Linked DNA regions of Drosophila melanogaster. The protein of the gene in region 1 interacts with the protein of each later gene in a pairwise test. Each region holds a gene or a part of one and is shown on either strand. Other genes may lie near its edges.

Region 1 (6,908 bases):
TAACGATTACACACACACAAACACTGTCGAGTCCTTTTTGCAAATTTGGCATCCTTCGTGAGCCGAGCGAAAAAGCGGCAAGGGGCGTGACGCAGCTCATTTGCCTGCAAGAGCGTAGAGAGAGATTTTGTCATCCTGACTGTAGCCGTAGCTGTATAGCTATGTACGTATATATGTAGATACGATGGAACCATCTACACGTATACGCAATATAGCGCATACGCCCGGCTGTGCGGTTTATTTACACCGCGAGTTGTCTGTAAAATTTTAAAGCGCGCGGCGATTTTATTGGAGCACCGTGCGAACATGCGAAACACCAGCCGCCACCCCTTGAACATCCTGACACATCCTGGTACATTGTGGCACATCCTGACACCCCATGACAGACCGCCCCCCACCCCCTTCTTCCGACCGTTTTTGAGCCCCAACCCCCTTCCCCTGCAAAGTACATGGACGCGCGCACACGGCATTCGCCATTCAGACGAGTACATATATATCGCTATGTGCTACACCGCTGGCGAATGGGAACGCATCGGTCCGCCGTGCGATATGCGATATGCCAAGTGTGTCACGGTAATTAATTAAGAACCGCTTGTTCTTCTTTCTTGCAGACGCCAAGCTGTTCGACAACGGCCTAAAGTTGGATATTTCCAGCTACCCCCACATGAACATCCGCATGGGCACAAAGGGCAAGCGTCCCCTGCGGAGCCTGACGCCCCGCGACAAGATCCATGCCATCCAGAGGATCCACGATGGCGAGTCCAAGGCCTCGGTGGCCAGGGACATCGGCGTGCCCGAGTCCACGCTGCGCGGCTGGTGCAAGAACGAGGACAAGCTCCGCTTCATGTCCCGCCAGTCTGCCACGGATAACCTCTGCGCCGACGCCCTGGGCGATAAGATGGATGGAGGAGGAGGAGGAGGTGGTGGAGCAGGCGGCGGAGGTCTTCTGGGACCGCCGGAGAAACGCCAGCGTTTGGACGGCGCCCTGCCCCTGAACTTCTCCAACAAACTGAAGTTCGATGAGCTGGCCTTCAAGCGATCCCCTCTGAATGGCCTGGACTACAGTACAAACAAGAATCTGGCCGATCTTGGGTACAATGGGCTGCCCGTAGACTATGCGGCCTTTAATGGCGGGGTCAAGGCCAAAGTGTTTGGTGCCGATATCAACAGACCCGCCGCCGATCCCTCCCTAAATGCAATTAGTCCGCTCTCTAGCTTGACGCACCTTTCGGGTCTCACGGGCATATCACAATCCCCGCTGGCGATCAGTTTCAACGAGCTGACCACAAACCTCAACTTGCTGGCCCAGCTGAATCCCGGTCTGGCGGCCATGTCGGGTCTAAACAGTTTCCCAGCGGGCGCTGGTAACCTGAGGACCCCGAAGCCCAGTGGCCAAACGCCGCTGCAGGTGCAGAGCCCCAGGAGCGATAGTGGAGATCGATCGGCGCAGGGATTGTCGGTAAAGAACTGGGCCAAACAGAAGCCGGGGGAGGGCCAGGGCAGCCTCAATCTGAGCATCAAGAACGAGGGCAAGGGAGGCGATATCAAGAGTCCCAGTCCTTCGATTGCTCCTTCGCAAATGGGCGGGCCCATGACGCTCTCCAATCTGGCCGAAGATCCCTTGCTCTACTGGCTCAAGTCGCAGCAGACCATGTTGGGTCTGAATCCCCTTTATCCGCCCACAATTCCCATGGGCGTGACCAGTCCCCCTATCAGATCTTCCACGCCGCAGCACATGAGTCAGTTGGCACAGACTCCGCCGATACCCTCGGCTCCGCTAACACCCTCGTCCACACCGTCGGGCAGTCTGGACGAGAAGAACGCGGCGTGGTACAACTGGTGCAAGGCGTTCGGTGCCAGTCTGCATACCCTGAATCCCAATGCCGCCACCTTGGCCGCCCTGCAAGCCAACCAACTGCAGCAGCAGGTGGCCACCACGGCCGCAGAGGGGGGATCCATGGGAGATCCCTCGAACATACTGTACTCCCATCTCACGAAAGAGACTGAGACGCCGTCGGTGAGAAGTTTGTCCTCCAACGAACAGAATCCCGAGGCTGACGAGGCCACCGAAACCGATCTCGATGGCGAAGTGGAGCCGGAGGCATCCGGGAAACCGGAGGATCTCTCAGCCGCCGGCAAAGTGATGACCCCTTCGCAAAGTCCCATTGCCCATTCATCAGGCAGCAGGAGTCCCGAACCAAAGGCGAAGACCAAAACCCCAGAGACCACGAATTCCACAAGCGAATGCAAGAAGATCCTAGACAATATGCTCTTCAAGATGGGCGGAATGGAGGCCACTGGTCCGTTGATGCCGGAACAGGGATCCTCCGAATCGGAGGGCAGCTTCCAGGACACCAGCAATCCGCATACGAACAACAACGATGTGAGCGCCAGCAATAACAATAACAATAATAACTCAAACAAAACGGACGAGGAGGAGAAGGCCAAGTATCTGGACTGCACGGCGGACGAGGATATCGAGGCCATCCGCCATGGCGAAAAGTTCCTGCAGTGGCTGGAGAATTGCAGCAATCCCCGCGTGACGGCCGTGCAGCTGATGCAACTTCGTTTCCTAATAGCCGCCATCAAGTCGGGCAACGAGACACCGATGATCGAGAAATCCGCTTTGCCGGAGGACAGCGAGGAGCACGCCGCGGAGGAGGAGGGCAGTGGGCGGGGCAAGAGTCGCCGTCGCAAATAGGAAAAGCCAAAGTTGGCGCCCACGGAGCCAGCCACGGATACAGAGATAGAGGATAGCCCAGACGGTGCTCTGCACGATGCAGAGCCAGGACCCGGTGTCCTGGCTACAGATGCAAATGCAGATACCGCCGAGGGCTCGACGAGGTGCCATGTCTATGCGCCGGCCGTCTACCGATCGTCGGCCACCCTACTCAGCTCCCTGTTCTTCCCTCCCTACGAATTTGTACATTGTGACCTCGACGATGACCCCGACGACTGCCAGATCACGGGCGAGTACCAGCAGTACGACGAACTGAGCTCCAGCAGTTAGACCACATGGTTCCACGCATCCGGAGGACTCCACTGAATTTATCTCCTAGCTGTGAAACCTATCGAGCATACTTTCAGTATCTTTCAATTCAATTCGAATCCACTCCATTGCATTGCATTGCATTGTATTAATTAATTAATCGTACGGTTAACGTGTATATATCGAGAAACTCTATTTGTAGCTATTATGCATTTCTTTTTGAACGGAAAGACAACCGACTCTGTTTTGTTAGTTTGTTTTTTCACCCAATGATGCATTCTAGAAAAATGTTATAGCCCTTAGTTTTTGTTACGAAAAAGAAAAAATACTTTTCGAACTGCAAGGTGTGTTGGCGCGAATGGCATGCATTTGATATCAAACGTTTTTAAATTTCGTATATTAATAACTATGGAAATGTGCTCAAAAGAATTTTCTTAATTCGGAATTAATGCGATATTTAAATAAAAACATTTACAAATTTAAATGTAATTTTAAATACATGTTCAATAAAAAATAATTAGATAATTTTTATGAAACTCTTAGAACTGTCGTCGTATTTACTTACCGCTGTCGTATTGGAGGGTCTAAGTGGTTTTTCATATATATCTACTAAAATACCTAAATGTTTTACTTTTATATTTACAAGTATAAATTGCCTTGGTCAAGTTATTGAACATTTTAGAACGCATAAACTTTTAAATATATTGCTACATGAGCTCGGAACATAAGAATAATGGATATGTGATTGGTTCAACTTTGCCATAATAGACTTACCAAATTTATGGGATCCTGCAGTGGCTCATACTGAATGAAATCGGCGACAAACTTGGCAATTTCCTCGACACTTGATATGAGTTGCGTGTAAATAAACGCCGTTGGCCTGATGGTGGTGCAAACGAATTTCTGTAAGTTGGTTAAGAGTGGCAATTTATCAAAACGCTGGCCACTAAAGGAGCAGATGGTGCTGACTTCACCTGTACTTTGCATTCGTTGGGCAGGGCCAAGACCATGGCTCGTCTCTTTGGGTAGCTGAGAACCAATTGCTTCCGGAAATTCTCAGCGTACAGCAGGAGCAACCGCTCCTTGGGCGAGAGGGTATAGTACGATGGAGGATAGCACTGGGGACTGTTTTCGAACTCCTCGACTGTTTCGGGAAAGGATAAATCGATCTTTCCGATATTGAGCGATGGTTCTCCTTCGGATAAACTAAATTCACTAGATCCCATTTCCTCCATTTCCGCCTCGAACTCGCCCTCCATTTCATCTGCAAAATCCGATTCCGAACCTTGCGAGCGCCTCTGCTCGTCGATTTCCTTGAACTTGGCGCTATAGCGACTCGGGTCGATGTTGCTCACCACCTTCTTGTACTTCTGAAACAGTACTTTCGGCATTTTGGCGTGGTTACAATTGCCGGCTCTTTAAAATAATAAACAAGAAACTTCGTTTCTATAACTACGGTGTTTGTAGAAAAATATATATTTTAACGGCTAGATGTGACAGAAATTGAAATATGTATTGTGTTGTGCTAGTCTGTTCATTGTAGCAAATAAAATATATAAAAATTGTAATTTGCTTAAAAAACTTTCGTAATTCTAATTAGTTTTGTGTGGGTTTCGCTTGAAATAACTTCTTATAAGAACGAACATTTCCTTCTTCCGGTTGAAAACTTTACTTTACATTACTTTACTTCCTGATTCTGGTTTGCGTCTGGGCTAAATAACCGTTGTACTGGTTTGTAACTGCTTTGGCATTAGATTTGAACTTCTTTACCCTGCTTCGTATATCAATTTCTACTGCTTTTTTCTCGGTTAAGTGTCTACATGTAAAATTGAAGTAGGGTAACAATTTTACCCAAAAGTCTTTTTGTAACGAACATTTTTAAAATAGAGCAAGCAGGTTGTGAATAGCATATGGCCATCACCTTTTAGCAAAAGAATAGTAGTAAGCTTCATGTCATGAAGAGAATAACTTTAAAATTGACATTAGTATTTTTAAAATAGTAGGTAAGCCCTTGAACGATTGATTACCTACTGCTTTTTAGCCTTGAATATTAAGGCATAGCTATATTTTAAGAAAATAAAAAACTATTTAATTTCCATTCATTTCGCTAGTCATTTTCAATTAGCTATTTTTTCAATAGCTATTTTCTATAAAATTTGATGGAATGTATCAAAGTTATATTTGTATTATAGCACAGAAGGCACAAAACTTCCCTACTTATAAATATTTGGTAAATTGTATGACAAGTCACATATTTTAAATGTGAAAAATTGATATAATATATAGAACTACTTCTTCACCTTGTGCATTTTTTGTTGATTTAATTTAAATAAAGCTAATTCCACATTCAACCTAATCTTTTCCCTGGTTACCTACATACATACATATGTATATTTCGACTAACTTTATTTATTGTCATTATGCATATTACATAATTACCCGTCGAAAACTCAATGCTGGTCTTCCGCAGCTGCAGTGGCAGCGACAGTGGCAATGGCTTACTTAGATGGCACATTTTTTAGGGACCACCCCCTTGTCTGCATGCACCACAAATTGCATTTGCATTATTTATATTGCATCAATAAAACCCGCATTCAGGAATAATTAGCGAGCGCAGAACTTGTCGATGAGCAGGAGCGGAGACCAGCGGATTGAGATCGGCGCAGTTGATCCGTTTATGGCTGGCGCTAGGATTTATTTGTACTTCCTTTCGCATTTGAAAGGCGAGCGTCTACCTGGTGAGCCTGGTGAGAGCGGTACATTCATGAAACCATTTGGCGCTTTTAAGCGACTCAATTACGCACTTTGATTCCCACATTGGCCGCTAGTAGTCGCCTGTCGTTGGGTGTCGCCTTGCTCTGCCTCGTCCAGCTTGGTCCTGTGGCAAGGACTGAGGACTGGACGCGGTCTACCTGGCCGCCGTCTGAGGCAAGATGCGTAAGCACTAATTTTTGTGTGCGCTCAGTTTGCCGTTTAATTGCCGCGGCTCGCGCTAAGTGTTCCCTAGAAAAACAAAGGCAGGCGCTGCGCGTCGGAGGTTCAATCAAGCACATGTCGTCCTGGGCTGACTCCTTGGCCAAAAGTGGTCCTTGCGCAGGCGCCCCGGATGTCTCGAGTGTCAAGCGCCTTTGCAGCCATTGTCTGATTATCGCAGCCACGCAACGCTGATGTGCGGTTATGTCAATTAACGCGGATGCGGATCAGTCCGAAAGGATCGAGGTATATAAGGGTAGCTACGCAGGAGCACAGGACATCACATTCGCCACAACCACCGAACGAAGCACATCGATCTGAAGATGCAGTTGGGAAAAGCTATCATTCTGATTTTGCTGGCGGCCATCCAGCAAAGCTGCCTGGCTCTCTACATCAAGAGCGCGGAGAAGAATCCAGCCAAGACTGGGCCCAAGGACGATTGGGGCGTCTTCAAGAACACACTCGGACTAAGCCAAGAAAAAGGTGGGTTGCGACTTAGATTAAAGCTCATTTTGAACTCTTCACTAACTTTGTCATTATTTCCTCTTCAGTTGAACTGCTAAAATCGCAAAAGGACCAACAAGGCACTAAGGAGCTGCTCAATCGATTCATTCTGGAGAACCCAAAGGCACTGCCGAAGGCCAAGCCACAACCCGATCAGTTCATGGGACTCTACAGATCCATCCTGAAGAAGCTGACGGCATCCAAGCGCATGCTGAAGACCTCGTTGAACTTTGAACTGGCCGACAGGCCACACAAGACCCTAAAAAGGCCGCGCCGTAAGATCGCCGTCAAGATGGTTTCCGATATGCCATCATGGAAGATCGAGAGCCTGCTGAACTCATTCTATCTGAAGCACGGAATTCCACGCAACGCCGAGGAGCACGATTATCCCGATCTTGACATGGCCAGGGATACTGATTACGAATCCGATAATTTCTACGAC
Region 2 (8,747 bases), on another chromosome or scaffold:
CCAGCAGGTGCTGTGGGCTGTCCGCGATGTATGCGATTGGCTCAAGAGAAAGTAAAAGGACGTCAGCCAGTGATGAGACGGATCACTGGTTATATTCAAGATTGGAATTGGTTGAAGTATAACCAAGTGTACCGAAGGCGAAAGTCATCGATTGGTTGGAACTGGAACTTATCTCGCCTATTTTAAGGCTAACTACTACATTGTAAACAATAGGAGCTTACTATACCTTCGCATCACTGCTTCCAGCACCCAAGGGCTGGCTCCATTCATGTCGTTGGCGTAATTTAGTACAAGCCCAAAACCCAAATCCCTGAAGTAAACAGCAATATCCGAAAATAAACCCATTCGAGCGATTGCCTTTGCGTGTCCAAACAATCGCAGCCACAAAATTATCTAGAGGCAGAGGAGCAGGTGGCCACCACATCCGGCACTTGGCCGCCGCGATTCTCAACATTTGCTTCGGGTTGTGCAACTCTCTCGATTCGTCGTAAATTTTAGCCTAATCGAATCTAATTGAATACATAAATACGGAAATAAATCAATTTAATTACAATACAGCCAACAACAGTCATCGCAAATAGTTTACACGCACACAAGCACTCGAACCATTATTATTACAGATATAAATTTGTTTAAGCCTTGGTAAGGTATTGAGAAAACCTCAAGAGTTGCGGGTTCATATGCTAATTAAATTAATTGTCGGCACAAGTAGGACCACTTAAGGTTCTTTAGCTATACATATTTTTGGAAGTTCTATTATCATATCTTAACTGAGCTTTAAAAAATCGCTGGTAAACATGATTGTACAAGAAGTTGAAATTCCTGGAAATGGTTTGGTAATTGCATACATATGTACGTACATATATGTACATAGCTTACAATTTAAACGATAGAAAAGTACAAAGTACAGCACTGCAAATATCATGATCGGCAACATATCAGAAAACCGTTAGAGGTGATGGTTCTCTTTCGTTATCTAAGTTCCCCTCCTCTCGCGCTGTCTTCATCTTGTACTTTCGCGCTTGCCGCTTTGGCTTAGCGCTCTGTCCTTTTCGCTCTGCAATTGAGTCGCTCATTGTCATGCGCGCATCGACGCCGAACTTTGCTAAAAAAAAAAAAATATACCATGATCGTTCGAAATCGTTACCAGAAAAAACGTCTTTTAATTTTGCAAAAATAAGTTAATAAAAGGGCCCAACAGCCCACTTTTCAATCGCCATCGGAAATAGAGCAGTTGGGAATAAAATCTGCGTGAGACTTATCTATGTGGTTGCCCAGTCACCAGAGCGAATACCCCTAAGTAACTAAATACATACATATCTATCTACAGATCAGTCGTGTTGGTCGGTGAGGTGATTGCGAGCTTACAGCGCTTCCGGATAAAAGTCCCGATAGGCGAATCCCTCAATGTACTCCGGCCGGTGGCAGGCGAACAGATGGTGGGGTAACTCCTTGCGGGCGTACTTCTCCAGTGCCTTGCGCGTATTTTCCTGGAGCACGGCCTCGTCAAATTTGACCCGCTGCACCGTGGTCTTCCGAAGGATGGTCTGCACCAACTGCGACCACACGCAGCCGGACTCCTCTTCACCCAATCCGGAGCCGTTTTCGGCAAGCTTTCCTTTTTGAATTTGTGTCGACTGCTTCTCTTCCTGGCTCGGCTCCGGCTGCTGTGCAGGCGCCGCCATCTGGGCTTTGGTTTGAGTGTAGACTGTGGACGCATCTGCGGCCTGAGAGTCGGTAGTGGCCTCTTTCCTTTTGGGTGGCGGAATGTCCTGCATGAGCGTCTGCAATCGATCAACTGTCTCCGCCATTCGTTTCCGAAAGTCCACTATTCGACGGGCGTAGCTGAAGAGGGCTCGCTCCTCCGCCAACTTTAATGGCCTTTTACGTGCTTCCTCACTTAGTTCTCCGTCTTCCAAAAGTGGGTGAATGCGAACACCGGCCTCCGAAGTGCCACTGAGGTAGATTCGGATAGCAAATTCCTGCATGGCCGAAGTATTGACCATGGCTATGGCATAGGCATTACGTGCTTTTAGAATAACTTCTCTTATATGAGCCAACTGGGGCGAGGAGGTATTGGACACTCTTGTTTCGAGATCTTGTAGATCCATATGCTCCAAGTGAGCCGACTTATCCAGGCTGTCCAACACCTCTGTCAAATGGCTAGGTATCCGGTCACCGTCCGCCGGAAAGGTTAGCAAACCTAATCCTTGAATCACTCGGATGTTGGCCACATATTGCTGCTGCAGTTCGTACAGCTGCCAAAGGGTCCTCATTCGAGACTCATACTCTTTCTGGGCGCCTGTGCCCAATACACTACTCATATTAGTATCGTACAGTTGCAAGCCCCGTATAAAGGCTACATCCATGGTATAGTTGCCCATGAAGGTCTTTACATAGTTAAGAGCCTCGGAGGCGCTTGCGAAACTCTCCCGTCGCTGAGCAAAGAATTCATCCAAATCGCTGACTGTCAACTGGTTTCGTGCCACCACGTTTCTGTGCAGGCTCTCGTTTAGCTCCCGCTCCTCGCGTATCTGCTCGAAGTTGCTTACTAACAGATCGCCGGCGGGCTGTTGAAATTCGTCGAACACCTCAATATCTACGGCCATGGTAGTGCTTGTGCCGGATTGCTCGCGTTCCTGCTCTTTTTCAGAGTCCTGCGCCTGCACACTCTCATCCTCTTTATTAAAGAACTCGTTGTTCTCTGGGTGACACTGCGGCACCCACTGTTCCTGAACAGCTACCTGCCGCTTTTTGCTCCTCTCTAATATCGCCCGTGGACTAAACCGCTGTAGATCCAGAGAGGTGTAGATGTCCTCGTTGTGGGCGTGGCAACAGTGGAGGGCTGACATGTCCATGGGATGAGCCTCTGTGTTGAAGATGTACGCACCGGCCTGTACCACGCATACATCATCCTCGGTTGACAGCAGCTCGCCTCCGGACCCATCGTTGTGCAGGAAGTTTTCCTCGTCAAACAGCAGATAAAGGTACTTGCTTGTTTCCGCCAGGAAGAATGACTCCATGCGATTCTCCTTTTCGTGGGTGACAACATTGCGAATCTGGAAAATAATGCAAGTATATATTAATTAATTTTAAGTTCTTAAAAAGCTTGTTCACAGAACTTCTCACCGTTGCATATCCGCATTTGGTTTTGGCACTGAACTCCAAGGTCTCCAGCATGTGCTCACCAAACTCCAGAAGATACTCGTTTCCTGTGGCTCGATAGAGATACATAGCTGACTCGATTAGCTCCGGTCGCAGGGGGTACACCTCCCGATTCGGCGATGCCTCTCCAGCAGCAATGTTATAAAACTCTGGCAGAAAGCCGTACTTCTTCCAGACCCCAATGTACCGTGATATGGTGCGCAAGGCCGGCTCCGTGTCGCCAATAATGCTCAGGATGCCGGGCCAAAACGCCTCCAGGGACTGAAAGACGGGAAGGGTGACGCGGCCTTTGTTCATGCCTACCCACACGTACCAGTCCTCCTTCCGCATGTACTTATCAATGGCCGCGCGAGCCTCATGGAATAACTCCAAGAGTTCTGGGCGATTGAGCAGGACAGATGCCTTAACTAGGTATTCAAAAAGGGAATCCACTCCTGCTCCGATACCAGAGTCGAGGGCGGTCCAACGACCGCTCTGCACGTCGATGTGATTGCCAAAAAGTCCAATGGGCGAGCGATATGCCCATAGAGCATGTACCGCCTTCATAGCAACATCCTCGTAGATGGTTTTCCCGGTCAACCGGCTAAGGGTACCAAATTCGATGAGGAATGTCCCCACGCCCGCCGTACAGGTTATAGAGGTCTCGCCCTTGGGCACGCCATAGCGCAGGTTCACCGTGCCATAAGGCATACCCGTGTTCGTGACGAAGGCTGGCAATAATCGTCGGGCCACATCCTCCGCCAGTCGCAGCAGAGGTCCCTTGCAGGGCCATCCTGGCTCTAGCTCTACGCCAGCACGCTTGGAGAGCAGATGCGCGGACAGCAGCCCGCCCACGATGCGGATGTTTGTCTCGAACACGGACACGTTGATGTCCCTGTCAAAATCCATCTTCTCCTCGAGCAGTCTTGCCGCGCGGCGGAATTCCGTGAAGTTGCCCATGGTGGCCAGCGTGTCCAGAGCGTCGATCAGTGTCAAGGAGTAGCTGCCCCAGGTGTCGTGGCCATCGCAGGTCAGCGGACGCAGTTCATCGTAGTTGGAGGCGTGGCGCAGGTAACCATCGTAGGCGTGCTGGAACATGCGCCGCACATCCTCCCTGCAGATTCATTGCCGGTTAGGATTAGTATGTCCGAGTTTAGCCCTAGCAATGACCCACCTCAGTTCCAACTTTCTTGCCTTGGAATACTGCTTCTGGCCGCTGACACCGGTGGACAGCAGGACGAGGAGGACCGCGCAGATGAGGGTGCCCGGATAGCCGTTGTTTCGGGGTTTTTGCTGCATCGTGGGACAGTCAATCAATCAGGGCCGCTAATTCAATTATGGGCATGGTCAGTGTTCCATAGCCAGCGTGGATGTGGGATGTGTGGAAGTCAAATGCGGCTACGTTGACGCAAAATCACAACAAGGGCTGATTCGGCGGTGGCATCGACCGCCGAATGCCCTACTAATTCCGTTCGGTGAGTGTTTTTTTATAGAGCGCTTAGAGTAGCAAACGGGGGAAAGAACACAAGCCAAAGAGCTTTTTTAAGGTAACAACCAAACACTATAGGCTAGCAAACACTGTATTCTCCGCCAATTCTGAAGTACGTTAATTTTACCCAACAAAATCCCTAGCAATAGGATATGTCATTCCGTAGGGTGCAATCAGCTGTTGCTGATCGAATAACTATCGAAAGGGTGGTCAGATCGAATTTGCATGGTGGTCATTGCTTGTTAAAGGAATACAACAGCTCAGAATAGCCGTAAAATCAGCGCGGCAATATTAAAGTCGGGTTGGAAAAATTAAATGGCAATTTCTTTAAGAATTCAAAAAGTTTGTGATGACAAATATACCGATTGTTTGTCACTGCTTTGCGCGGCACACGTTCCTTTATACTTTTATTCGCGTCGAGTTGGCAGCACATACCAGTTTTTTTTGTGGCCATTCAAAAGTGTGTGTTCGTACGGGTAAAAAGTGATTTAAATTCAAAATATTCAGCGAAACGACCGCCTCCAATAGAAGCAACTGTACCCTATGGTAAGTAACTGCCCTCTGCACCCGTTTCACACCCGGACATCCTCCGGATGAGCTGACCAAGAAATCCGCAGCCTTTGTTACGCTTCCGACTGCGAATTGCAGTTCTGGCGATGGGCAGCGATGTGTTTCGGTTTTGAATCATTCTCCGCGTAAAAAAAACTCAGAAAGAGGGTCGACTATAACCTCGCGGAGTAACTGCATCACGGCCCGTGTGCCTTTTGTACTCCGCGTAAGGCGATCGTTTAAATGCAATCGCGTATGCTTAATTGTCCGTTGGGCGAAAAGTAACAACATTGTGGGTCTATACATGCGGGATTGCCTCTGGCTGACCAGAAACCACATTGAAACCATCCCGTTGACCGTAGATATAAGCGTGTGCCATTTGGGATCTGGAAATCGTGTTTCCACCCAGTTGTTTGCATATTTATAAACAATTAAAGAAAAATATTAAATTTTTTGGTCAGGGCTGTCGCCCCTCGCATGGCATCGATAGAAGAGCGTCCGGAGCTGCGGTTGCAACCCTATCCGCTCACGCAAATCTATCGAAAAATTTTACTCCACGGTCGATTTTCGTTGCTTTTTTTTCACACTCGTGTAAAAAAAAAGGAAATAGCTAAGTAAATCGAAAGTACAGTGCAGTGTTTTGATCCCGTGGAGTGCATGTTCCAGCGGAAAGTGTGTGCAACAAATATGAGCAGTTCGCAAAAGTGGCGAGCAAAAGCAATAACAAAGTAGCAACAGCAACGCAACGTGTGTGTGTTGTAAGCAATCTGTACAGCGGAAAGGTGTTGGTGTGTTGGTGTGCTCGGGGGGTGGTGTGCGTTTCGCCCGTCCCGTGTCCATAAATTAGAATCAAATCGAATCGAAATCGACATTGAAGTCCGCTGCTCCGCCACCGCGATGTCCGTCGACCAGGATCAATAAGCAGCGTCACCACCAGTAGCGGACCATCATTAAGTTCTCCATATCGAGAGCAGGCTGACTCGGAATCGAACTCGGATTCGGAATTGGAATTGGAATTGGCATCGGAATCGGAATCCATAGCGGAGGAATCACGCGCGGCAGCCAGCCCAATACGGAAAACTGCTGAAAAATGTTAGATAAATGCCCAGTTATCTACAATTATTATGGCTTGTCCCTGTGTGCGTGTCCAGGTGTGAGGGTGTGTGTGTTTGTGTGCGATAGCAGAAGCAAAATCCGCTCAAATTGCGATGCCAAATAGTCGGCCAATTAATTGATCTTTCAATTGGCGACATCAGGCGCCCTCCCATATACCCAGCTCCGCACGAAACCCGATATATATCCGCGGATTGAGTCTCTGCTTTTGCCGCACATATGTATTGTATAACCCTTGTTTATCTTTGGACAATCCGAGGTGGAGTGGAGTACAGTGGAGGCTGGCCAAGTTGGACACATGTGCCGATAAGGTGGCGTGTGCTGGAACGAGTGTCCCCTGTAATGCGGTCTTATCTGAAGAGCTTTGCAGGTCACTCCGACTGACAAATTCACCTGCAAGCTAGGAGGGGAAAGCCCTGTGAAGAACTCTCTAACACGATAAAGTCATATTCCTGATTGATACAACTATAACACACAGAAATCACTATCAGACCAGAGAACCAGCTCGCAAGACCCAAGACTGTAGCTATACCAAATAATCTATCCATAAAAATAGGAAGTTCTTATCTTATCACATACTCTAGGTAAAGATTTAAGATGGATCTCTATAAATACTTTTGAATTTACAACCCAATTTGTTATGCTTCTCCTGTAAGTGGCCCAAAAATCGTCAGTTAAGCATATGAAAAGTCTCGACAATGTGGCTGCACTTTGTTCCTTTAATTGTTCTTATATTGTTTACAAATTGCATAAGCTGTAAATGTAAACTTTGCTTAGTTCGATTTCGCTTATTCCCGAAGTCTGTTTAAACATTCAACAGGAAATGAGAAACTGAGCTTGTTTATAAAACGTTAGGCAACATTACCCCTTTTGCCATTCATCTTTTCCATTAAGAACGCCATATAAATTCAGTTTTCAATTTACATCGTACAGCTGTGGGTTGTAGAGCACTATTAGCTGCTAGGAAAGCAGGTTGAATAAAATGATGATGAGAAATCACAGAATTCGAAGGACCTTGGGTGAGTCACTGACTAGCAGCTTTCACTGCACCATCCACGCACTCAAAGCCGACCACAACTGGAGTTCATACACACACAGGGGCCACCATAAATAATTCGCATCCACTAGGTGGAAGTGAGCAAATGTTTACTCAATAACTATTCTTGCAGAGCCCGCAGTCGCAGCAAAGCAACGATTACCAGCGACACGAGCAGGGAGCAGAAGGAAGCCGGCGGAGGAGGAGAAGAAGGAGAGCCACCGCACAGATTGGGTAAAGCGCACCACCATGGTGAGTACCAATCTGGTGGTACCCGTGGTGCTGTGGGGTCCCACCGCGCCCACGCACTGCATCTCTAGCGTGTTCCTCTCGGACGATCAGTTTACCCTGGTCACCGGCTGCTACGATGGACAGATCTGCCTTTGGCAAGTGGAGCCCACCACCCTGAAGATGTCGCCGCGGTGCCTCTTGGTGGGCCATTCGGCGCCCGTTTTGTGCTTAGTGCGTGCCTCGCTTCTGCCGGAGAACAACTTCCTGGTCAGCTCGTCTGAGAACGGAGAGATGTGCACCTGGGATCTTACGGACGGCAAGTGCATGGAGGCGGTCAAGCTTCCACAGGTGCACACCCAAATTCAGAGCTACCACACCGCCAACAGCGAGGATGTGCGCCTCTTTTGCATTGGCTACTATGCTGAAATCATGGTCATGGATCCGTTCAGCCTAGAGGTGATCTACGTGCTCAGCTCAAAGGTCAAACCGGATTGGATATCCGCTATTCACGTACTGCGCCCCATGCGTCGCAAGGATGACGTAGTGTTGGCCATCACCACCACCGGAACCGTGAAGGTCTGGACTCTGACGGGTAACGAGAACAAACACGCGGAGCCCATTTACGAGAACGAATCCAAGGAGATCCGCTGCCTGAATGCCATCACCATGAATTGCTGCGCCCAGAACCAGCGCACAGTGCTCTTAGTTTGTACCAAATACTGGCAGATCTACGATGCCGGCGACTTCACTGTACTCTGCTCCGTAATTGCTCCCGCAAGGGAACGTTGGCAGGGCGGCGACTTCATCACCTCCGACCGGGTAATGCTATGGACAGATGAGGGAAAGGGCTACTTGTACAAGCTGCCCGCAAACTGCATTCCCGACAACAAGGAGTTCCACTCGAAGAGTGTGGTCAGGGATGCACCTTACCTCTACTACGTGTTGCAACACGCCGGTGATAAGGTGCTGTCGTGCCCCCCAGCCATGAAGTTGCTTCAGGGCGCCGGTGGCCAGCACAATCTACTGCGCGGAGACTCCGAGGGATACATCTCTGTCTGGAATGTGCCGGAGGTGCCGTTAGACAATATTAGCATACTGCAGGCCAAACAGATGCCGCCGCGACCCCTCAAGCCGCACGTGTGCACTTCGTTGGTCGAGGCGTGGTCCATAATGGATCCACCACCA
Region 3 (7,044 bases), 5.6 Mb from region 1:
AGGGGAAATCGTGAAGGAAATATGCCCGGCCATCCATGAGATACTTTGGCATCTTGTTCCTCAAAGGGAGCGAAATAGTTACTTTAATTAGTTTGAATAATATTCGAAAAATCTTAATAACGCACAAACTAAATTCGCCATTTTAAAGAGATCTCTGAAATACTTTAACGATTACATTTGTCAGAATAGCAATAGTTATGAGTTATTTAAAAATTGGCATATTAATTTACATATATATAAATACCAAACTGAATACCAAAAACCGAAGCTTCAGCCAGTTGAAACGTACTTCATTAATTCAGCAAGTACAACCAAAGTTGGGCTTAACTTGGCTAATTGATATTCACTTGGTCCTCTCGACTCGTGTATAAATTGTACGCGCTCGAAAAAAAAACAACTCCGAAATAAAGCCCATCGAGTGCAATTGAAACTTTTTCAGTTGGCGCTACCACAATAGAGCTGTTGACTATTTTTGTTTATTTAAAACTTTTAACAATTATTGTGCAATTGTGCGAAATTTATTGCAATTGAACGCCAATCAGAAGGGAAGTGCCCTTCTGAACCCTCTCCACTCGCCAATTTCATGGCTTTCCCTGGGTTTTCCACTCCGGTTTTTCTCAATGCCAGCACCCGTTAACCAAAATCGTTTACATGTTAAATTGTGCCTGCTCACTCCTTTTTTTTTAGAGCCTCCTCTTTGGCGCTGCAATTTTGCCTGCCCTTTGGCAACACCTTTTTTAAGGGGGTGTTGCAAGGGTTGGGTGGCAGGGGGCACCCTTTTGTTTGCGCCGATTTTTTGGCACTTTTTTTTCGGGGGATAGCACGGGTAGCAATTGTTGTCTCGTGGAGAGCGGCGGGCATTAAATAAATAAGAAAAAATATATTCGCAAGGAGGCGGGCTGCATTCCGTGCAATTTTCACTTTACAACTGTTTCAAAGTTATCTTTGTTTCAATTGTGTGCACGACGGCGGCAAAAAGCGAGCAGCAAAAAATATTGGCAAACAATTTACTTTTTGGCCAAAATGCGAAATAAAAGTAAAATGTGGCAAATAATTTGCCCAAAGCTGCGGCAGGTTGAACACGGAATAAAGGGAATCTGCAGCAGGATATCAAAGAGGACTTTCCCCTCATTGATTTATTGTCCTTTTGTGCTGGTTGCAAATGGGGAGCTTCCTTTTTTTTTTTTGCTCTGTAGCCTGGCTCAATTGCAATTTAAAGACACAGTCTGTTTATTTTGGGCAAAGTCGGGCCGAAGTCTCCAACTCCACTTGAGATAGGCATCGGCAAAATTAATCATCTTTGCATGCCAGTTGCCAGATAGTTTGTGGGGCCAAGTTTGTTTAATTTCGATTACCAGCTGACGGGGCAGAGTCCTGTGCCCGGTGAAAGATGCAGGATGAGCCGGCCAGGAGTTATAAATGGCAGCACCGACAGCACCAGCATATAAAACTGACATCCACTGACAGCAGCCAAAATGATTAATTAGACAGGAGGCAATCTTGTTGCTGGTGGAACACACACACTAGGTAGGTATTCCCAATCGAAGATGCAAATGTCAGATAAATGTTTAATTTCTGCTCAGGGCTTCGATGGGCGAAAATGGGAATGGAAATTGGCGCTGATTTATACATAGAGTATATTTAGAGTATATTTAGCTAAGGGGCGTAGTCGAAGGTGATAACAGGCGACAGGTTTTCGCCAGGGCGAAATCTTTGATTTACGGCATTTTGGAGCCGTTTCGAAATGCGACACAACACACGCCGAGCAGCCGGAAAATTAGTACAACTTGACTAGCTGGCTGGCTGACTAGCTGGCTGGCTGGCTGGCGTTTTCCCCCGGCTTTTCCAAAAGCCCAGCGAACAGCATTTCGTATGTAGCCGGCGATTAATATCCATCGCAGTCGCAGCTGCCCAGCGCCATCAAGCAGCTCGGTTTGCCCAGGGAAGAGACGGAAAACAAGCGGAAAGTATATGGATCGAAGATATGTGGGCCAACCTGTGCGCAGCCATCTCTGATCGATTAGCCAAACTATCGTGTTCGAGGGCTTTTAGTTCCGCCCACAGAGAACGGAGCTGCTTAAATAGCCATAAATTATAATTTATGGCAGCGGTGTTGCCACCGTTTCAACCGTTTCCACCGAACATGTGCAATTAATCCGTCTCTTTAGCTGGCTTATCAATTGTCAGAGTCGGAGGAGTGGAGCACCGAACGAATCGTGGGCGTTTCCCCAGCATTGCGCCATCCCCAATGCTCCCCAACTAAGCGTTTTCAATTAATTTCGGCTCTTTCTCACACCTTCCATTTCAACCGATGAGCTCTGCCCACTGACAGTTTTATGCTTTGTTTACACTCGATAAACAGAGTGGCAAGCGACCAGCAATATGGCCATAAAACAGGTTCTTAAATGGAGGTGCGGCATCGCGGTAATGGTGTTGGCCAAGTTAGCTACCTGTCGTCTGCTGTTTCAGCCTGCGCATGCGGTTTTCCTGGTCAGGGGTAGCTCTACCTGGTTCTCGGTGGGTGGAGATTACTGGCAAGGCGGCGGTGCTGTTTCGGCGGTGCCAACAAATCAAATTGAGATGTGGCTGCAATTGGTCGGCCACTGGGAGGAACAGAGAGGTGGCTATGCTATGCAATGCAGGGAATAATGCCATTATTCAAGATCGACTGGCCGACTTTCATGTGTGAAGAGCGTGATATGACCAATAGATATAAGAAATCGAATGATCTGCCATGTTAAACCGTACTAATTTTAACTATATTGTAGTTTTAGCTCATGGAAAAGGACTTTCGTAGCTGAAAACCAGCGAATGATTATAGTTGAACAACAATAAGTTCTTTAAGTTCTCAAAGCGTATAGAAGTTGCACAAAGTGACCCAGTTTTCTCTCAGTGTGCTGATCGGGCAAACTTTTTCGGTTTCGGGCTCGCTCTCTCCTTTTTGAGAACCGGAGCCCGTTCTCTGCGTAGGAGTAGGTAATGGTAATTCGAGACCTGCCTCGATCCTTACTCGCCGTTTATGAGTTTGTTTTTCTATAGCTACTCATTCTTATGATCCCCTGAAGGTGGAGACCACACATATACCCAAGATGGCGGATGGTTTCTGGGAAACTGCTAAGCTTGCATGTGGGGATCTTCAAATCGAAGCTACCGAGTCTTGGCGCGCGAATCACTTGAACACAAAGTTCTATGGCACGGCTGATTGGTGATAATGGAGGCGGTTTGCGGATGAATCACCCGAGATCTGTGCTCCAGATCCGCGTTCTGATCACTTACACTGCATGGCGAAGGGGGAGGTGGAGGGCATGCTCTGCTGAATGATGGTATCCTCTTGGCCGAAACGTGAAGACGACGGCGCCAGACAGGACAACATTTGGAATGCTTGTTGCAACACTTGCTCTACTTTGATGCGGATAGTTTGTTTGGCTAGTTGGCTAGTTGGCTAGTGGGTTCTTCTGGGCTCGGCGTTATTTCTTTCTTATAGAGCACACACGTGTTGTGGCGGCCATTTGGGCAAGGGCCTTGGGTTTTTTATCTTTCGAACATGGGAAACACTGGGATTTTTCTTCGCGATGCGCCGCTGCGAGTGTCGCGTTTGTTTTTATTTTGTGGGCGATTTCACTGATCTGCGTTCTATATCTGCGTGATTCTACTGTGTGCTGCTCAGAGTTTTCTCTGTGGGTGAGCGACGCGTGTGCTGCCGTCGCGACGTCTACGATGCAACTGAATTCAGAGTTCTAAGTTTCGAAGCATCAAGCCAAATCCGAGAACGAAACAGAGACCGACGTCCTCTACCGAATCCGTCGGATGCGAACTGTGAGTTTCGGGCGAGGGCGATACGGCGGGGTTCTACGTTTCCACGGAGAGCGAGTGAGAGAGGGCGGCGCTGTTTGTGTGTGTGCTCCGTGCCACCACCAGCATAATATAACGGTGTAACGGTTCACCGTTCCGATGTACGAGGTGATTCGGGCGGGGGTAGTGTGGTTGGTGCTCTAATGCTCTGATGGGTGGTGTGTTGGTGGTGGTGCCAGAGAAGCGAGAGCGCTTCATTCTTAACATAACAGCTCTCTGTTATCGCATATCGTAAATGTTAAGCGCTGTTAGTGCCGCTCCTCTCGGTTATCCCGTGACGTAAGCACTACGTAAGGGTGGCCTCTTTTGTTCATCGTGCTGCTCGTAAACATATGGCCGTTATGCGGGATTTGACTATATTAACATTTGCACAAAATTTCGTTTTTATTGATAAAGCGACTTATGAGTCTTTCCATTAACTTTTCCGCCAACCGTCAAATTTATTTCGGTGTTATTTTATTAATACTCTGTGCTGCTGGGTATCAATATTAAAGTGTAGAGCTTAAGTGATTTACATATTTAATTGTTATAATTAGGAAATATTTTTAATAAACAGTTTAATACTCAACAATAAATAGGAATTATCTGAAATTCCCAGAATTGAACAGCAATAAGATAGTTTAATTATATACTTGTATTATAATTTTTTAAGTCTTTCCGGTAAATCAAGTTTATGACAAAATATTCCCCGTGTGGGAATTACACACATATGTATGCATATCGCTATGATTAATTCCCCACTCAAGAAAGCTTTCGATCGTTTTTCTTTCGGGTAAATTTGGCGGTGCGAGATAAAGGGGATTTCTTTTTTCCAGGGAATCCCTTAACCCTTTCCTGGCCACATCGCTGCGTTAACGGACAAAATCATTTGCACTTGCGATTGCAAAATTTCCTCTGCTGCGATTTCCGAGTAAGAAATACCGAAATCGTTCCGCGATTGCCACACATTAATGACATCGTTTGCTGATGGGCGAGTTCTTGAGAATGTCCATCAATGGACACGTCTACAAAATGACAGAAGAACAGAGATCCAAGAGATCCCGGACAACCGAAGAATTCTAACGAAGAGAGCAGAATGCGAGTGGCTTGATTCTTTGGCTCCATCAACAAGTTTTGGCGGCCCCTTGGGATGTTGCTTTTTTTGTACTTTATATTTTGCTGCTCAAAGAAACATATAGATTTGAAAACTAAAAGTATAAATGGATAAAAAGATATTTATGGTAACAGAAATTGTGTTATCGAAAAAAAAAGCGAAACATGCTCTCTTTGATAAAAAGCAAAAACAAAAGGCGGACTCGACAACATAATAAACAATTTGTACATTAATTTTTAATGCGGTTAACATGTGTTCCCCCTTCTCCCTCACACACCCATACACTCACAAACGCGGTCGCTACGTGTGTGTAAGTGTAAAATAGGTGGAGCTTCATAATTTTCTCACTTGAAACGTACTGCCATGAGCGGGAAAGAGAGCGCCGGCGGTGCAAGCGAGAGAGAGGGAGAGAGAGATAGCCGCCGGAGAGGCCGCTTTTTTTTTGTTGCCTCGCATTCATTTTGTATGTTAATTAGTTGCCGTTCACTCGCGTGCGCGTGTGTTGAGTATCTGTGTGAGGTGGCGTGGGTGTTTAATGAGAAGCGAGCAAGGTGCGCACATTGGTCGTCCATCGGTTGCACCTGTTGCGCTCGTTCGATTGGCGGAAAAGCCCCAGGGAAAATTGGAGGCTGATGAAGTGGGAAAATGACTCAATAAGATATATGCGAGAATGAATCAGAATAGATATTTATGTCTGGACTTGAAAATAATTCATCTCTTGCAATGAGCTCGTACCTCCCCGAGTTTTGTAGATCTTAATCCGCCTTCATAAGTATATATTTTTAATCAGGATCAGGACGATTGCTGTTTCCCAGCACTTCCTGTTCCTGTTCCCCCAGGAGTTGCCCTCATTAACCACTTAATTGACACACATCCGAATCGAAATGCATCCGAGTTCAATGGCGAGTACCTTCAATTACCACGTCCCGCATTCGCACTCAAGGATTTTCTTCCCAGGCTCTCGAAGGCAACACCCACTGTAGGTTCTTTATTTAAATTGGATTTGTCGATCATTTTCCGATTGCTACTAGCTTGGGCTTCCACGACTTTGGAAATTCTCACCCACCGCTGCTGGTACCCACATAAAATAGAGTTAGCTAAGTACTTTCGATGGTTCCGCATTGACGTCATCGACGGAGGAATCAATTAATTTCACTTTACAATCGTCGGATCGACGAGAAGATGAAGCAAAGGACTCTGGGAAAAGGCAATCCTTTTCGGGGTGTTTGCTGTAAATCTCAGATCTCCAGATGGGTCATCGCATTCCCACACTCCTTGGGATTGAATTGCATGCATGTTTCTCGTTTTTCCACAATTTTTAATTAGCAGTAAACTTTGCGCGGCCCCGAAAAACAAAAGAACCCGAAACCAATTCAATTCGAAACCGAACCGAAAAGTAATGACAGCGTAAATACTTTTCAGAATGTGGTGGTTCTATATGGCATAGAAAGTGGTGTGGTGTGGTGGTGGTGGTGGTGGTGCTGCTGGTGCTGGCCTCGGTGGTGCAGAGTGATGCACATTTTTGGGGTCGCCACAAACATCGGACTCTCGGCATCGGAATCGAAATCTCAAGTGTCCTCTGTTCTGCGGCCGCCTTTGCCTCATTTCGTTTAACACTTTATGTGACATTTAAGTGGCGGCGGGGAAATGTCAAATTTCCTCATCGTCCCCAAAATGCATGTACAGCGGTCTGAGCCCCATTTTCCCCCTTCTATTTTTCAAGGGTTAGAACTTGATTGGGGCGGTGGTTTTAGTCAAGTGTGTGGTTCTCGTGTGGGAAGATTTTCCCCCTCGTGAAAAGTGCTCGTTCCAGGCGCAAAGTGCGATTCCTGGTTTGATTTTCGTGGAAAGCAGCGTAAACTGATTGGTTATTGTCTTGGAAATAATGAAATATTATAAGCAGCGAGGGTTACAGTTGCCACTAATTTAGGCAATTAATAAAATGTCGAAAATCATTAATAGCTAACCTTAAGGTTTATAGTTATTCAAATTTTTAGTGAACTATTTAATAAGACAATTTGATTGACTCACACTAGCGCCCCGCTTGCCTGCTTTCTTTCTCCTCTTATCCTTTCAGTTGATCCTTGAAGTGTGCCAAC
Region 4 (6,898 bases), 280 kb from region 1:
CCATCCCAGATTCTACATCCCCAACATATATCCATTGTGTCTCCCAACTCGAGTTGGGTTCACTTTCGCCATTCTGGTTCGGCGCAAGAAAAACAAACATGGCTCAGTGCGTCCGTCCCAAAGAAATGATGAAAGCCGAAGAGCGAAGAATGCCGTAGAATGAACAATTCTTTGTTACTTGTCTTGTCTTCGAGTGAGTCGAGTGAGTCACCCTAACGTAAAGAAACGCATGAGTGCGAATTGCCGCGATTGTTTGCGGTTTTTTGATGAGTGTGCTAAAATAAAGCACTCACTTTTCTTTAAATGTACATGCATATATGTACTCACTTTTTGGGTCTAAAAATATTGTAAAAGAAATATACAAATTAAAAATACCTAATCATGTAAAATGAATTCGTTACCAAACTAGCACACAAATCAGCTAAAAAGCGACGCAGTATTGGCAAATGTTCAAAAAACGTAAGAATAAACTTCAATCGCATTTTTCCAACACACACATGTGTCAAAATGTACCGAAAATGCTGCCCAAAAATAGAACCCGCCAAGTATGGGAATAATTACATTTTTAAACAGACTTACGCCAAACACCAGAGATCGAAAAAGAGAGTGAAACGAAGCTAATACAAAGCAATTTATATGTGTACAAACAGACAAATGGAAATATTTGCCATATGCCAACAGAAGAACAATACTAATTGGGTTTGATGTGTGAGCGTGGAAATGAGCAGAGCAAAAACAGACATCAAACCGACGAAAATTCACACGCCTCCTCCACACAGCGAACCAAAACGAGAATCTTTTTGGGGATTGGGTAAATTTTTTGGAGGGGGTGGGGGGTAACGAATAGCAACGCACGTTGCAAAAATGCTTTCTGCTTTCTTTTTCAAAATCATTGCTGTTTGCACGAGTTCTTGTTTCGTTTTCTTCTCCCGTAGATGTGTAATTTGTTTCAGGTTTTAATTAGTGCCGAACTTTGGCAAGAGAATTTATGGGGGTGCGATTGGAATTGGGATTGGAATCACCTTCGGGTGATGGTGTTGTTTATTTACCTATGTAAATGCAAATGAATTATTTCGATTTGCTTTGCTTTCAGCTTATTATTGTTTTTATTAAGCGAGTGAAGAGCGCATCTCGGACTGGAAATCGAATTGAGAAACGCCGATGGCCTCGATAAACTCAGCGGAATTTCCCATTAACGGGAATCCACATCTTCTTTAATCCAACTAACGATTAACCACTCTTATGAGTAATAATAAAATGTCGCATTAGTCGGAATAAAAATTCATTTCAAGTAAAGATAATTAACTTGCTTTTAGATTTATTCCTAAAGCGGATCCTAATGATTTTTTCTATATCTAGTATATAATGGTGAAACTAAGCAGTAATACTAATTTCAGCACAAGAAAATCAAATTGTTTGTATTTTATGCAATACAAACAAATCTCTTAAGATTTGTTTAGTTCTGAAATGATGATTCATGTTTAAAATTTCTCGCACTTTCGAGAGCAAACCTACAATTATAAAAAGAAAAATAATATGAACGCAAATTTTACATTATTTATGCTTTCAATTATAAAACAATAAATATTAAAAAAAATCATATATAGTTGAAACATTCTAACGTGACTCTCCTAACAAAACATACTGTTGCAAAACCTGTTCTAAGCTAAACTACTTAAAAACCTTTTAAAACTTGTAGGCAATTAGCAAAAGTTGAACAGTCTGGGCAAAAATTAAACTTTTAAATAAATCGAAAGGCCAATAAATTATAAAACCCATGGCAAAAACTTATTTTTAATGGGAGAGAGGGAAATACAAACAAATAAAGCATAATTGGGAGGGGCAACAAGAACAACAACAATAAGAAACGGGCATTAGAAAGATGAGCACGAAGAAGAAGATGCGATTAGAAGGCACGGGAGCGCAAAGAATAGAAAAATTAAAAGTAATCTAAACAGCAACCTGTGCAGCGTGCCCGAGCGAGACAGCTGCTCAAACCGGTATCGCAACAACAATTGAACCGCAAAGAAAACGCGAAGAAGACACACACACGGACTATAAGAAAATAATGTTAGCCACTAAAACAAAAACAGAACGAAGCGAAAACACAAAGATAATGATTGACAAAGGCAACAATGTACAACTGCAAGCAGGACAGAGTGAGAAGGAGAGAGCGGTAAAAAAGAGACGAATCTGCGGCACAAAAGAGAAGACGAGAACATGCAACAAGCTGCAATTGCCCAAAATAACAACAACAAACCAGACCGCACGGCTATTTTTGTCATTAGATTAAATATTTCACATATTTTTGCACAGTTTCACCCACATGCGCCAAACCCAAATTATTTATAAACAATGTAAGTGCAAGCTCACCTGATAACTGCAAAATAGGCGCCTGTAACTTTTGATAATATGGAAAATCTCAATTTAAATTTGTTGTTGGCTGTTGCTTTGCTTGTTGTTGCTGCCGCTGCTGTTGTTGTTGTTGTTGAATTTCACGCGAAAGCAGGCAAGACAACAACATAAAATCACAAACACTTGCACGCACATACGTCACACACACCCGCACACACACTTGGACAGCTGAGACATAAACACACGGAGAGCAAATCGCAGCGAGAATGGGAGAGAGAAAGAGACAGAGAGCGATAACAAATTTGTTTTCTGGTTTTTCTTCACGATTTTATTACACGCTTTTCGAATGGCTAACCATATTTTGATTCACATTTAATTCGCTCCAATCACAGTGTGTTCCGTGCGCTTGCTAATTTTCGATTTTCCACCGCAGAACTCCGCCCGTTTTGCTGCTGTTTTGGCAATCGTCTCTCTCCTGGCTAAAAACATATGATTTCGGTTGACGGAATCACGATAAAAACACATAAATGCGAACAGGGCGCGCGCAACAACTTCCCACGACAAACTCTCGCTTCGGAATTTGGAACGAAACTGCCACTTTTGCAGCGAATCGCGCTTAAATACCCGTCTAAAGATGGGAACGCATGGCGAACCGGTTCGATAGTTCGTGAGCGAACAGCCTTCGCACAGTGGTATGCAATCAAACTGAGCAGTAGATTAAGTACTTTTGTTTAACAAACCGGATAGCTCGAACTTTGAAAATAAGTTTTGGATCGGCAGGAATTAAGACTGTGCACAATTAATGCTTTTAATGGTGACTCAACACTTTGTGACGTCAGTAGTAGCATAAGTTCAAAATAATTAATTTGAGTATAGCTTTTGTTTAATGTATTGTATAGAATAACTAGTAATACTGCTTTTTTGACTGCGATAAACATTTACGTAATAAAAACTGCATATATTTGCTTTGTGACAACCCTATTTTATTTTGCGTGCGTCACCTTACATTTTGCTACCTTGCTGCATCAGCTGTTTGTGTTGTGCGGCGAAGAATGGATTTGACGCTGGACAAAAAGCTGCAGGGATTCCAGTTGGTGGCACAAGAAAAGGTATAATAATGAATCGGAAGAGTGAAACTATTAACTACCTGCAATTCGACTGCAGCTTTGTTCCATACTATGTAGCATACCTGGAAAGAAGGAGTTAATTTTGGAGCCCGACTTGATAAAGCCACTGGAACATGTTGTCACTGCCTCCTGGCTGAAGTAGGTGTTTAATCCATATTTTATGGATATTTACGTCTTATATATACCCCTTAACAGGTTGAAGGGCATACAACGGATCTACAAACATGATGCGGCACAATCTTTGCCCCGATCCGCCGATCAGGTGCACATCTACATGATCCGCAGTGTTTTGGGTACATTTCAGACACTTCTCAAGCAATTGCAACCCGTGGCCTCAGAGGAAATGCCCGACATCTCCATGAAAATGTATCACATAGTCTGTGTGCCCAGTTGTTACTCCTATTTTCAAACCCTGCTGGAACAGGCTGGTTTGTACGGACTGGTGCAACTTCATCACTTTAACTGGGACTTCATCTATTTTGATCAGGGAGTTCTCAGCTTGGAGCTGCCCAATGTGAGTAGATGTACATTGAACATTCAGAAAAGAGTCTTTTATACTGGATATTCTTATTATTCAGCTTTACGAGTGTCTCTACCTGCAGAAGAACACATCTCCATTGCCTGCGGTGGCCCAGAGCCTGCGATTGCTTCAGATGATTTGCGGACAACCGTCTTTGATTCTGAGCTTTGGCCACCACTCGTCGCAGCTAATGCAAATGGCGAAGACTCTTGGCAAACTTCCGGCGCCCACAAATCCTCCAGACTATGGCGGCTGGCTGGTCATCGATCGGGATAAGGATTACCCCGCCAGCTTGCTCACTCCGGCCATCTATGCAGGTCTTCTCTTGGAAGTTTTCGAGCATAGTTCTGGCGAGATTCTGGTAGACAATTCCAAGAACAAGATCCGCAGCCAGCGTGTGGAGTTACTCCAGGGAAAGAAATCCAAGATAGGCGTAAACTCAGCCAGCAAGCCGTGTTCCATTCGTCTTAACTCCACATCCGATGAGATCTACGGCGATAATCGGTACAAACGATTTGCTCAGGTCAGCAGTTTGATTCACGCACAAGTAAAAGCCCTGGGCTTGGAACTGCAGAAACTCAATGACATGCAGCTGGACGAGATGCATGACTATGTGGCCAGGAAGCTACCCAAACTAACCGAGCTTAAGAGCAAAGTCCTTAGGCATCTGAATGCCAGCGAGATTGTGATCCAAATGATGGGTAACTTCAGGAAGCTCCAAACGCTGGAGGAGGACATACTAAACAATGATTCAAGAAAGCGATTGCTAAGCGAGATCGACGAGCTGTTGACCACAGATGGTCAGAGATTTAATACACTGCGACTGCTGTGCCTCTTGCATCATTGCGTTGGCGTGGCGCCCGAGGAGCTGCAGATATTTGCGCGGAACTACTGCAATCTGTTTGGACACCAGGAATTGGGCGTGTTCCAGCAGTTGTCGCAGGCGGGCTTGTTGCCACCACTTGTGGTGGAGAAAAAGGCGCCAACGAAACTGCTCTCAAATCTACCTCTGCCCAAGTTCCAGCAAACGGAGTTTCAGGCCAATGCTAATCGGCTAAAGCTGTTGACCTCCAGTGGAGATGGTCAGGATGGAGGTTCCTCCTCCAAGAGCCAATCCAGTGGCTTGCAGACCTGTCCCAGTTTTGTGTTCAATGGCACCTACATACCATTGGTGGCTCAGCTCTGCTCCATTTTGCTGAAAATCAATAGTGCTGAGGAGTTGTCCTCGAAGCTGGGCATGATTGAGGGGCTGCATCTACACCTGGACAGCGGAAAAATCACGCCCAAGGCCTATGCCAGCCAAGTGAAGCTAAACGGAGTTGCAGATCAGGATATGTTCCCCTTGCGTCTCAGGAATCTCTTTGTATTCATTGTGGGTGGTGCCAGTTATGCGGAAATCGCCGCCTGCGATTTTGTGGCAAAGCTAACAGGCGCCCAAATAACCGTGGCATCCGACTCTCTAATGGCGGGCAGTGATTTGATCGCCACCGCCTTCAACCGCTGACCATGAAGTAACTAAGAATCTGTGTATCAAATGTTTTATATATTTTTATACAAAACAATGATGACAAAGCTTGTGATTAACAATTTTCGAAATTTACAATTTAAACAATGCTCTTTTCGAATAAATATTACCTAAAAGTGGCATTTGCTATTTATCACCACTGGCTCTGGTCATTCCAGGCACTCGGTAGAGCAGCTCTCCATCGTCATCGTAATAGGCATCCTCCACCCGGTAAGTGGCTCCTTGGCGATGCAGTTTCCGGGGAATAACAATGCGTGTTTTCACCTGGGTTATTTCATACTTGCGCTGATCCGCGGCACTGATCACAATCTCGCTGCTCGCAAACTTGGGCACGAAACTGGGCAGGAATCCGGTGCCACTGGGATTCTCGATGGGCCGCTTCATTTCCTCTGGAACTGCGGGCGCAGACTCAACGAGCTGCAATTCCTTAAGCTCCTGCAGCCGCATCTTCTTTTTATTACGGATTTTGTCCAACAAATAGGTTTCATCTTCGGCAGCAGAGGGTGGAGCTTCATAGCCGGATGGGATTTGTGGTGTAGGCATCTCCTCTGTTGTTTTACTACTGCTGCCCAGCAGTTTGCGGAATTCGTTGCCTTGCGGAGTCGGTAGTTGTGATTTTGTGGGCCAATCCTGGATTTTAAGCTCCCGCAGATCCTGCCACCTTCGCTCGGCGAATTTCTGCAGATGCTGGAGAAGAGACGGTGGGATACTGAAGTCACCCTTTCCCGTCCCTAAAAGCTGCCAGTTTTTAATGACGGTTTCATCGTGGGAGCGTATCCTTTGCACACTTCTCGGTCGCCACTTGGCCCGCAGAATTTTCTGCACAATGTCCGGAGTGGCGGGAAAACTTTCGGCCAATCGCTCAACGCTCCATTCCTCGGGATCTCGCTCGTGCAGCAGGCGCATCTGCTCCTTTTCGGCATGAAGCAAGAGATTGGGCAACTTGGCGTCTCGGAAATACTTGTGCTTTATCATAAACTGACGGATGCGGTCGCGATGCTGCTGCTGCTCCCTCTCGTACTGCCGATGGGTCTTCTGCACGTCCATGAAATCCGACTCCAGATCGGCGTAATCCTCGCTAGCTTCGCTGCTCTTTTCCGGGTGCTCCTGCAGCTGCTCCAGCTGGTAACCTAGTCCAGGATTTGCGCGACGAGGAGCTCTCGCCAACAGACAGGAGCGAGCAGTGTGCAGGCCGCGTTGGATCATGCGGGCAGTCATCTTGGTGAACAATTTTAAGTCATTTAAACTTTTTGTTTACATAAACAGCCGCATGCAAACCGCGATTAAGGCTATCGATATATAGCGCTTATCGTCTTCTAATTCATTATCGATAAGTCGTCGGTATAGCACTTTACAAAACGTAACAACCCT

The links.
Region 2: the proteins of lobo (region 1) and Edem1 interact in a two-hybrid assay, tested with the Drosophila melanogaster proteins (one large-scale study listed by BioGRID).
Region 3: the proteins of lobo (region 1) and zfh1 interact in a two-hybrid assay, tested with the Drosophila melanogaster proteins (one large-scale study listed by BioGRID).
Region 4: the proteins of lobo (region 1) and Vps33B interact in a two-hybrid assay, tested with the Drosophila melanogaster proteins (one large-scale study listed by BioGRID).

Annotation. Positions count from the first base shown.
Region 1 is NT_033777.3:25,189,275-25,196,182, forward strand, and holds the start of lobo (lost boys), read right to left. Parts: upstream 4,503-6,908; 5' UTR 4,381-4,502; coding exon 3,964-4,380; intron 3,893-3,963; coding exon 3,764-3,892; intron 3,533-3,763; exon of another isoform or gene 3,011-3,532; coding exon of another isoform or gene 665-3,010; exon of another isoform or gene 612-664; intron 1-611. Other genes in the region: dan (distal antenna), read left to right, coding at 665-2,701; CG13653 (uncharacterized protein), read left to right, coding at 6,286-6,445, 6,514-6,908. UniProt on the Drosophila melanogaster protein: Key component of the nexin-dynein regulatory complex (N-DRC), essential for N-DRC integrity. Involved in the regulation of flagellar motility. Involved in sperm motility. Required for the sperm to enter in the coiled storage seminal receptacle (SR) tubule.
Region 2 is NC_004354.4:1,903,177-1,911,923, forward strand, and holds Edem1 (ER degradation enhancer, mannosidase alpha-like 1), read right to left. Parts: upstream 4,804-8,747; 5' UTR 4,444-4,803; coding exon 4,319-4,443; intron 4,259-4,318; coding exon 3,130-4,258; intron 3,060-3,129; coding exon 1,369-3,059; coding exon of another isoform or gene 1,365-1,368; exon of another isoform or gene 1,146-1,364; intron 1,106-1,145; coding exon 1,036-1,105; 3' UTR 528-1,035; downstream 1-527. Other genes in the region: mip130 (Myb-interacting protein 130), read left to right, coding at 5,177-5,179; Rbcn-3B (Rabconnectin-3B), read left to right, coding at 7,581-8,747.
Region 3 is NT_033777.3:30,762,613-30,769,656, reverse strand, and holds the start of zfh1 (Zn finger homeodomain 1), read right to left. Parts: upstream 3,732-7,044; 5' UTR 3,374-3,731; coding exon 3,277-3,373; intron 1-3,276. UniProt on the Drosophila melanogaster protein: Involved in the development of the embryonic central nervous system, embryonic mesoderm and adult musculature.
Region 4 is NT_033777.3:25,470,109-25,477,006, forward strand, and holds Vps33B (vacuolar protein sorting 33B), read left to right. Parts: upstream 1-3,381; 5' UTR 3,382-3,407; coding exon 3,408-3,464; intron 3,465-3,519; coding exon 3,520-3,620; intron 3,621-3,677; coding exon 3,678-3,996; intron 3,997-4,060; coding exon 4,061-5,506; 3' UTR 5,507-5,648; downstream 5,649-6,898. Other genes in the region: CG4553 (uncharacterized protein), read right to left, coding at 5,654-6,745.